Linked DNA regions of Arabidopsis thaliana. The protein of the gene in region 2 interacts with the protein of the main gene of each other region in a pairwise test. Each region holds a gene or a part of one and is shown on either strand. Other genes may lie near its edges.

What was found.
Region 1: the proteins of AT1G78995 (region 2) and TDT interact in a protein complementation assay, tested with the Arabidopsis thaliana proteins (one large-scale study listed by BioGRID).

Annotation. Positions count from the first base shown.
Region 1 is NC_003076.8:19,286,604-19,292,877, forward strand, and holds TDT (tonoplast dicarboxylate transporter), read right to left. Parts: upstream 4,501-6,274; 5' UTR 3,745-4,500; coding exon 3,298-3,744; intron 2,551-3,297; coding exon 1,410-2,550; intron 1,327-1,409; coding exon 1,292-1,326; 3' UTR 766-1,291; downstream 1-765. Other genes in the region: AT5G47550 (Cystatin/monellin superfamily protein), read right to left, coding at 1-361; AT5G47570 (NADH dehydrogenase ubiquinone 1 beta subcomplex subunit), read right to left, coding at 6,266-6,274.
Region 2 is NC_003070.9:29,714,572-29,718,500, forward strand, and holds AT1G78995 (uncharacterized protein), read right to left. Parts: upstream 1,685-3,929; 5' UTR 1,509-1,684; coding exon 1,132-1,508; intron 1,050-1,131; coding exon 1,005-1,049; intron 920-1,004; coding exon 862-919; 3' UTR 501-861; downstream 1-500. Other genes in the region: AT1G78990 (HXXXD-type acyl-transferase family protein), read right to left, coding at 1-398; HAC1 (histone acetyltransferase of the CBP family 1), read right to left, coding at 2,068-2,204, 2,367-2,476, 2,589-2,806, 2,917-3,309, 3,396-3,474, 3,643-3,782, 3,888-3,929.

The DNA.
Region 1 (6,274 bases), on a different chromosome or scaffold from region 2:
AGCGACCATTATTGGCAGGCTCGAAGGAAGTGAGATTTCTGAATTTCATCCACGGCTTGTCCCATACGATTGCCAAGTAGTTCTTGCTCACTCCGTCGCCGTCATTAGCCGCCACCTTAAGACGGTAATTTGTACCAGATACGACCTGAGTCTCGCCGCTAACAACCGTCTCGAACTTGAGTCCCGATTCGCTCCGTTTGTTGTACTCGGAGACCGCGAATTCACCGATCTCTACGACTTGAGGGTCCGTAACGTTGCTGATGGGACTCCAACCACCGACGCGGGCAGCCGCAGAGGCGTAGAGAGGGAGGAGGACGACGACGAGAGAGAGGAGAAGAAGGAAGACGACCTTACTAGTCATTTTGCTTTGTAACTGTTGTTTCCTCAAAATTGATTATGGCATTGAGTTTAAGGGCTTTTAAATACATTAAAGGTCCGCCACGTGGCATGACGTGTGGCAGAATTCTAGATTTCTAGCAGAATATTTATTTCTAATCTTAATAACACATGCCATAATTTAGGCAAAAGGTTTAATGAACTTTTATGAAAAACTTTTTTGCTTTGTATTTCAAAATTTATACTAATTTATTGGTAAATAATTAACACTCACATAATTCTTTATATGTTATGGAATTCAGCATAATATAGACAAATTAATGAGGTTTATCCTCTAGAGGTTGGATATCATTTATGTAATTTGCAATGGCCAACTTCTACCTACGAAAATAAATATCCAAAAGGATTATGACTACTTGTAGTTTTTTACGATTATAAGCATATTATTCAATAGACAAGTAGTGTATAGCAAAGGACAAAGAAAGAACATAAATGAGTGTAAAGGACAAAAACTAATTAAAAAGCAAGACGTTATAAACCATGCATTGATGTTTTGTTTTCTTTGCTTTTTGTGTTTGTAGAAAACCGAAAACAGAAGAAGACACGCTGGACAATGACGTGGTATGGTATGGCCAGGTTGGACCGCGCGCTGGATTTGCCACTAGTTGCTATTGTTAGGAAGAAGAACACACAAATCTGTATTAACCCTTTTTCATATACACACCAAACAAAAAAAAAAAGGGACCAAAGTTACCGGTACGTTGGAAGCACAAAAGAAAGCAATGGTACCGGAAACTATAATCGGGCGGGTTACAAAAATGGGCCGATTTTGTGAATTTTGACCTCATCTAAATTTCCCATTCCATTGACTATATATCTACATATGTATTACGGTAGTAAACAATATAGTACAATAAATCAATTGTGTACATGGTCTTGTGCTTGGCTTGTAGAACTAAACTCCTCCCATTGATGCAAAAACGTAAGCCCCTGGCATCATGTAACAATATCTATAAGAAAACTAAACTACAATGAATCTTATTATATAAAGAAGAAGGTTTTGAGTAAATTACCAAGAGTGGGCATCAAGATGGAGAGAAAGATGGTTCCAGCGATCTTGAGAGGCAAGCCTGTCTTGATCATGTCTTTGATCTCTATATGCCCTGTCGTGAACCCAACGACGTTAGAGGGTGTTCCCGTGGGAAGCAAGAAAGCGAACTGAGCCCCAATGGCTCCTGGAACCATCAAGAGCAAAGGATGGATCCCCATGTTCTTTGCGATTTCGATGAGTAACGGAACCAACAATGTAGTGGTTGCGTTGTTTGAAGTGAACTCTGTGATGGTAGCAGCGATGAGGCAAACCGTTGGAGCAATGGCCCAGTAAGGAGCCGTTTCAAGGAAGACAAGTCCTTTGGATAAGACCTCAGCTAAGCCACTGGTGCGTACTCCATCGGCTATAGCGAATCCAGCTCCCAATAACAAGACAATGTTCCATGGTAGTTTCTTGCATTTGTTCCAGTCCATTAGCTTCTCTCCTTTTTTAATATTGCTTGGGATGATAAACAACAATGTCGCCATCATCACACTCACGGTTCCATCCCCGGCTCGGCCGGCGAAGATCCGACCCCAGCCGGGGATATCATCAGTTATATTCCTTGTCATCCACAACACAACCAACCCACCAAACACGGCTAAGACCATCTTCTCAGCGAAGTTCATTGGCCCTAACAAATCAAGCTCTCTCCTGAGATGAGATTTATGGAGATAAGGAGAGAGAGCTTGTCCTGCTCCTTTAGGACAATACATAACACAAAGAACACACCAAAGCACCACGAATATGCACAAAGCCAATGGGAAGCCAAAGAAGAACCATTGGCTAAAACTGATCGGATCAGCCTCAGGGAAGTAGCTTTTCCACATTCCAACAAGAATCAGATTCACTCCTGTTCCAGTGAGTGTGCTCATCCCACCAACCGCCGCAGAGTATATCACACCTAACACCACCGCCCTGCTAAACTTCCCCACGGCCGGATGCACCACTTCCGTCGTCGATGATGACGAGGGCAGTCTCTGAAGTATCCCCGTAGCGACAGGCATCATCATGACTGCAGCTGCTACGTTATGCATCCACATGCTTACGAACGCTGTTGTGGCGCAGATGCCAAGCAGAAGTAGCGGCGCGTTTAGCGGCTCCACGCAGAACACCAACGTTATCTTCAAGAATTAGATTATCCATTAAGTTATGGTATTAGCTTATCATAATTAGATACGTGGTGACTGGTGAGTTTTCTCTTAATCATAGGATATCTCTCGTACGATTAATTATAGTTTAAAAACATGATAAAAGTAAACAATGATTATAGTTGTGACTTGTGAGCTAATTATTGGAGCCCGCACTTGCACAAATTAAATCATACTCACTATCATTGCTTTTGCTGGAGAAACATAGTGTTTACGTGTCTCTCATCTTTTTTTTTGGGTTGTCATATAAATGGAATTATGGATTGGCCTAGGGCCTCATGAAATGACATCTCATCTATGATACAAATAAAATAAAATAAAATGCATATGAAAAAGATTTTGTTTAAAAAATTGAAATAAAGGACTCTTTGTATGTTAATAACTTAACTTTAAATGATCAAGTTATCATTAGACTTTGAACACACAAATTATTGAAGAAGAATTAAAACGAAATAAATGTGTGTGGGGAAAAAAATGTATGGGGAAGGAAAAACATATAATCTGGCATCACCACGTATAAAACATGGACCACTACACATTGTAATGTTTAATTTTATAAGTAGGGATTCAATTGAAGCAATCCACCTATTTAACGATCATATTTTGTAATTAATTCACCCGTGGACCCGCACACAATCGGAAAGAATCAAATATTGAATAAATTATGTAGAAAAAAGAAGAAGAAGAAGAAGAAGATAAAGAGATAAAGGAAAGACTAACGTTAAGGGCAAGCCGGCGATGGATGTTGTAGTGTTCGACGGCGAGAGCAAGTATGAAGCTGCCGAGTACAAGGGAGATGACGTCATCCATGTAAGAATTTGCTACGTCATCCGCAGCCGATATACCAAAGAGAGGGAAGAGGAAGAGCGGCGTCATGGAGGTGATCGGCATCGGAACGGCCTCCGTCAACCACCACGCGAACATCCACACCAAAACACCGAGCATGTTCCTCGCCGTCGTCGTTTCATCTCCCCCGAGATCTACGCATAGACACACGACGGCGCAAAGAAGAGGACCAAGAGCGATGTAACAGTTTTTGGGCGTGAATATTGTCCGAAGTTGTTGTCCCACCGTTTGTCGTTCGAATGGTTCATCATTATGGACGACCGGTAAGAGCGGAGATTTCAGATCGTCGGATCCGGCGACGGTGACATCACCACCGTTCATTCTGTTTATTCCGTTTTTAATGGAAGGACAAAAAATGATATAGAGAAATGTAAGAACCAAAGAAGAAGAGAAATGAGCCTTTTTATAAATTTATTTATTTCTTTTATTATAATGTGTTTGGGCAAAACATAAAAATAAATATACGAAATGTGTTTATATTAAGGTTATTTATAGAATAATTAAAGTTTGTGGTCATATGACGAAAATATTCGGTGTAAGACCGTGAGTGACACATGTGACATGTTTTAGTATGTGAAGGCCTTTTTAGTAAACTTGTGTTTTTTTCCTGTAAAAAAAAATTGTATTTTCAATCACAAATTTTTGCTGGTTCACGCAAATAAAATTAACAATGTATGGGGTAAGATTGATTAAAGAGACAAATAATGTATTTTTTTGGAAGCCAAAATCGAATTATTAGATAATGGGTTAATATACGAAAGAAAGGTCATTCTTCAGTGAATATGTGATTGATGACTTTTCAGTTTATCTAAGGAAAATAATCGGCCATGAAAATGAAAATGATGGGGTCTTGCAAATTACAAGTTACAAGTGGCGACGCTGTGATGGCTTGTAATTTTGTCTGGACTCTAGAATCTGATGACCCATAAAAGGACACTAGAGATTAAGATGACAAGTAATCATAACAATCTATTTGCTAATAAATTATTCAGTAGTCATATAATCCAAGTGCTATAGCCTATAGGGAATTAATCATTAAAAATATGTAAACTTAAGAGTTATAACTTGTAGATAATATTGATCGTAGCTTCTCCATTAACATTTATTGGTTTCGTTTTATCCACAATCCATAAGCCTGTAACTTTGATTAATATGTCAAATGGATAGTAGAATAACTAAAATTTCAAAGTATATTCTTTTGCTAAATAAGCTACATATTACGAAATATTTAGAAAAACATAATCATTTTCGAATTGATATATAAATCCTTTTTTATGGTTTAGAATTAAGAGGATATAGAAATGTTGAAAAATATGGAAATAAATGAGGACAAAAGAGAAAGAATTGAAAGCCAAATTGATAGTTGGCAAGAGTAAAGAGAGCGAGTGAGACACGTTATTATATGCAGCCTTTGGTACTCCTCCAGAGCCCAACTTCCCTGGTTCTTACCCTCCCCTCTCTTTTTTTTTTGTCCTTTTTCCTCCAAATTTAATAATAATAATCATATTGTTGTAATAATCATATAGATACAAATTTTCTTAGAAATGTTCAAGAATCGACATGTATTTGGATTTTTTAACTTGTCTGTCAAATCTCTCTAAGAGATATAGATGCACTTGGTCTAAAGAAGATAAGCACACATACACACATGCATGTAAAGATATACGTACGATGAGATTTGCTATATCCAGTTTGCCAACAAAGAGAAGGAAGACTTATAAGAACTATTCCCTCAAATATAACTGGATATAACATAATAAGAGAGAAAAATAGAGGTGTGGTACCAATCACAATCTTGTTTTGAAGGGGTCCAAAACAGTCAGGTTGAACAAGAGCCGGTACAAATGACACATAGGCAGATCACATTGATGATTTTGATCATGAAACTATTATTATTTACTCTTATGGAATATTTGAAAAGATTGAAAGAAATCCTTGACTCATGTGGCTGTCTTTGATTCCATCACTTGGAAAGTTTCAGTCCATAGATTCTATGATTTTTATTTAAGATTCTATGATTATCAACTATAGTTTTAATCATCTGCATTGTAGACTATGTAGTCTCTAAACTTGCCCCTTATTGTGACAAGTCTACATTAGACGTGTATTTGTACAAGTCAAATCCAATTCATCATCCCACAGTCACTTATCAAATTTCAAATTAGAGCTTCTTAAAGTATTCTTCTTAGTATAAAAATTTTAGACAAGTCACACCAATCTTTTATCATATTAATTTTTACCCGTAAGAATAAGATCTATGTTTACAAATACGAATTTCTTACTAAACTACTTGTCGTGATGAATTTTGATAGAGATAATCATCAGAGAAAACAAAGAGAACTAAATAAATGCGTATAAGATATGAATAATATACAGAAGAGGAAAGAAATACCGAATACGTAATGGATATAAAACCAAAGTTTCAATTCCAAGACGGATACGAACAAGTTCGAGTTTCTCTCAATGTCCCACTCACATGCCCCATTAGGTTTAATTTGTCTTTCTGTTTTTTTCTTTTTTCTTTTTATTGTAGCCTTTGTTTGATTGAAGTCGTACGAGGCTCAAACTTGGTTCGACACATGGCGCTAACTGAATTGCGAGACGATTGTTTTCTAAAAGTTACAAAACACAACTCAAGATTTCCTGAACCAGAAGTCTTCTCTTATGGATCTCTCTCACTGGTCACTGTTAATTACAGAGACAACGCATATAATAAAAACAAAGTCTTCTTTTTATTCTTTTGTCTTCAAGTTCTAAGCAGGAAACAACAAACATTTTAAAGAACAAAGCAGTGAAGAAAACACGCTTCCTGTTTTGATGAGCAGATCACTTAGATGGGTCTCTATGGCTC
Region 2 (3,929 bases):
TTCTTGATGGGGACTAGCTTGGCAATACTTTCATCAGGATCATACAGGTTAAGCTCTCGGAGCTCCACGTCAGCACCGGCTTCCACGAAATCTACGCCACGGTTGTTGCAGAGGATCTCCGGTTCTCCGGTAGGATTGGTGACGAGCTCGCCGGCAAAGGCGTAGTAGGAGACGAGAGTCTCTGCCAAAGCAGTCTTGAGGGTTTCATAAGCCACTGTGTTGGTAAAGTGAAGTGGTTTCTTGTAGCAAAAGCAAACGTGAACGTTGAGAGGAGGAAGGAGGAGGTCGAGGTTCGAGAGTGGGAGCCAGTGGTCCTGGAGGGGAAGAGCCGCCGTGATGACTTGCTTCCTGGTGGTGGTCACGTGGAAGCCACGTGCTTGCTCCGCCGCTTCTCCCATTTGGTTGTTGTTTTCGGAGAGAATGAAGAATGTTGTGTGGTGTGGGTTGTTGGAAGATGCTGTCTAGAAGAGAATTTATAACAGAGCTTAGGAGTGAATTAGGTGAAACTTTCCAACATTTCGCTGATTTATTAATTTGAGGAAACAGAACAAGCTGGTTTACGATAATGCGTACGGCCCATTAGTTTTCCGTTGGGCCATATTACCACCCATTGGGCCTTGATTTTTCAACGAGATAATTAGAAATAACTGTAAGCCAACAACGTGTTTTGCCGCATGTCACGAAGAAACAAGACACAGTCACTTGGATTCCCTCAATCTGCCAAGCAATTCTCTGAAACCTGTGTATTCTTTATATTGAGACCAAATATCACCGTGTTTGAATCTTCTTTCCAAAAAAACAGATTCTACAAAATTATTCTGAATCAGTTCCTTTTCCTTCTCCTCTGTTTCTTTTCATGTTTCAGGGACCATAGTCACCATCTCCGATCAAATTGCATATATCCGAGCATTCCACTAAGCTACAATTACAAGTCACAGCTCCGATAATTAAGATCCATGCTAATAAAGAAAGCAACGAACCCTTTAATCTAGAAAGAAGGATACCAGTAATTACGGCTACGAAATCCTTGCTTGAATACCACTAATGGCCTTTCATTTACAAGAGATCAAAATATCAGTCATGAAGAATTCAGAGAGATATAAACAGAAACAGAGAGAGAGAGAGAGATACCTTCTGATATTGATCGGTCCTTCTCCGTCTCCGCTGCGAATGCAAGTGTTTACGCATTTGACTGTACATTTCTCTGCGTTTTTGGATTTTGGTCGTTGGATCCTCTGTTTCTTACAGTCTTCCCCTGACAGCGTTTGCGGTACGTTAGATAACGTTTCTCCATCTTGCGGCGGCGGTGGAAGCTCTGCTGAAGCTACGGACACAGCAGCCATCATAACCGCCGCGGCTATAGCCCCGATCGTCGCCGTGGATATACGAACAGCCGCAGATCGAGTCACCAAGCGACTCTGACACTGACACTGATGAGATTTACTACTACCTCTGTTGTATAACAATTTCGCGCGATAGAGAGATGACGAAGGACAGTGTATTATCATTACTCTTGCTGATTTTCTTGTGCAGTTTTCTCATCAGACTCTCTGTCTTGCTTAAGCTAAGTGGTTCTCGTTCTACACTCTATCCTTGTTTAGACACGTGTCCGTTTCTGGTGGCTTGGAATTTAGATACTTCTCAAACTCCACCAAACGCCCAGTTAGATACTTATCAGAATCTCCTGCTTACGTGGCATTAAGATTCGTCTCTCTAAACCTTCTTCTCAATCACAGTAACACACTAACTGCAAATAAAACATGCACGTTTACAAATCTAATCAAAGAACTAAATTATTATTGATTCAAAGTGTGAATACAAATTTCATCAATACAAATTACCAAAAAAAAAGAGTGGTAGAGAATCTAAAGACTCTCTATTCTCTCTTATCTTACTTTGCTTACACAAAAAAAAAACAAAAAAAAAAAAAAACACGTTAACGTACTGTATATGTTACACTCTTGCCATTCCCGAATCAGAAATGTCAATTTTACAAAAATACAATAAATTACCAAAAATAGAAGTGGGCAAGTGTGTGTGTGCGCGTGTGTGTATGTATAGATAGAATCAGAAGATCAGCCAACCAAACCCCATCAAACCTGAATCTCTCAACACTCTTGTCATCTGTGAAGAAGGCTGGCATTGCTCTCTTTCTTCTTCTTCTGGAAAGTGGCATCCTTGGTTTAAAGCTCGCATGTTAATCCCTGACCCGTGACTGTTAAATACCAATCTAAGCTAATTTCACAATCTGTCTCTCTCTAACTGGCTCTTCTTCTTCTTCTTCCAAAAGGTGTTACCTTCGAGAGAAGGATGAAAGTTTTTGCAACTTTGAATTGATCTTTCTAAATATACAAGTTTTTTTTAACCTGAGCCCCCAGCGACTTCTGCAGCTCTTTGTCTCATCATTTCCATTACAGCTGCTCTGCGCCGTGAATCTGATTGCTGCTGTAATCTTCTCAGATGCTCCTTTAGGTCCCTGAACAGAGAGACAGAGATGTTCACAATGATCATCAACACAAAATCAAATGGACCAAATATGTTTCACGTCTTAAATGTAAGGTTGATGTAATTTCATGAGGTTTGTTTACCTGCAACGAGGTACATGGCACTCTGATTCCTTGCAGGCCCGAGCATGGAGTTGCAGGAGATACCACATTTTTTTGCATAGAACACAACCTCCCGAAGCACGTACTTTGCAGTTGATACCATGTCGGAATAGCCCTTTCACTTTCCGGCAATTCGGATATTGACAATGTGCCGAACGACATTGTGATGCATGTACCAGAAGATCGAGCATTTTCCTAAGCTGCAAAACCAAAAGAAGAGAACAAAAAAAAAATGTTACTATTTGCATACAAATTTCAGGACCAAGAGAGAAGCACCATCAGTTTTAGAAAGGAACAGTATAGTGTATACCTGCAAGACTCGCAATTGCCTCGCTTCTTTGTTTTGAGCATTTTGATCAGCTAAAGATGGATGATTCGTCAACTTGTGAGGATGATTAACTCCACCATCTCTACTGAAACAGGCATTGCACACATCGTAGTCTGGACATACTTCACAGCGCCAGCCTTGACCAGTTTCAATGTCAAGATGACACGCATTGCAGGTCGTGACAAAGGCAGGAGCGGTTGGGTTATGTAGATGATAAAGGACCATCATGGACGAATGTTTTGCCCGCCTCAATGTATCATACTGATAATGGTTCCCTTGACAAAGACTCAGAAATGCTTGTCTAGTGTCGAAAAACTCGCTTTCGAGTATTTCATCTTTGTCTCTTGTATCTGCAGGAATATCCATAATCTCAACCTGCGATATCAATACCACCAATATTCACAAAACTGATCATAGACAAAGCTAAAGAACACTATCCTCAACAAGAAAATGCAACTCACTGGATACAACGCATGCTTATCCTTAAAATTAACAGGATGCCTTTCCCTGTCTTCACGTCTCTGCTCAGCCTCGTAACACCTAAAAAGAAGAATGACATTTTAGATTCAGAGGAACTTAATCAGTAACAAGGACACATAGCCCATCCAATAAATGTATCTCTCGGGACTTCTACATAATCTTATGTGCAATACAACAAAGAAGGGATTATAAAATCAAAGAGCAAAAAGACCTCGAAAGAATTCTTACTTGTCACAAATCTGGAAGTGTTTGCACTGGCTGCAGACCCAACGATTACCAGATACCATCAGTATGCAGCAATGAGTGCAAGAAGGCTGCAAGTGGACCATGATAAAGTCCTCCTTCATCGGGTGAATGGTCTCACCGAGCTGGGAATCGGTAAAACAGGTGAATATGATTAACAAGAAAAACAAAACAAATGAGAAAAAAATATATACAAAAAGGAAGCAATATTCATAGAAAGAAAATATTACTCTATGCATTAGAAGCAGATCCTTGGAAGCATTCCCAGATAG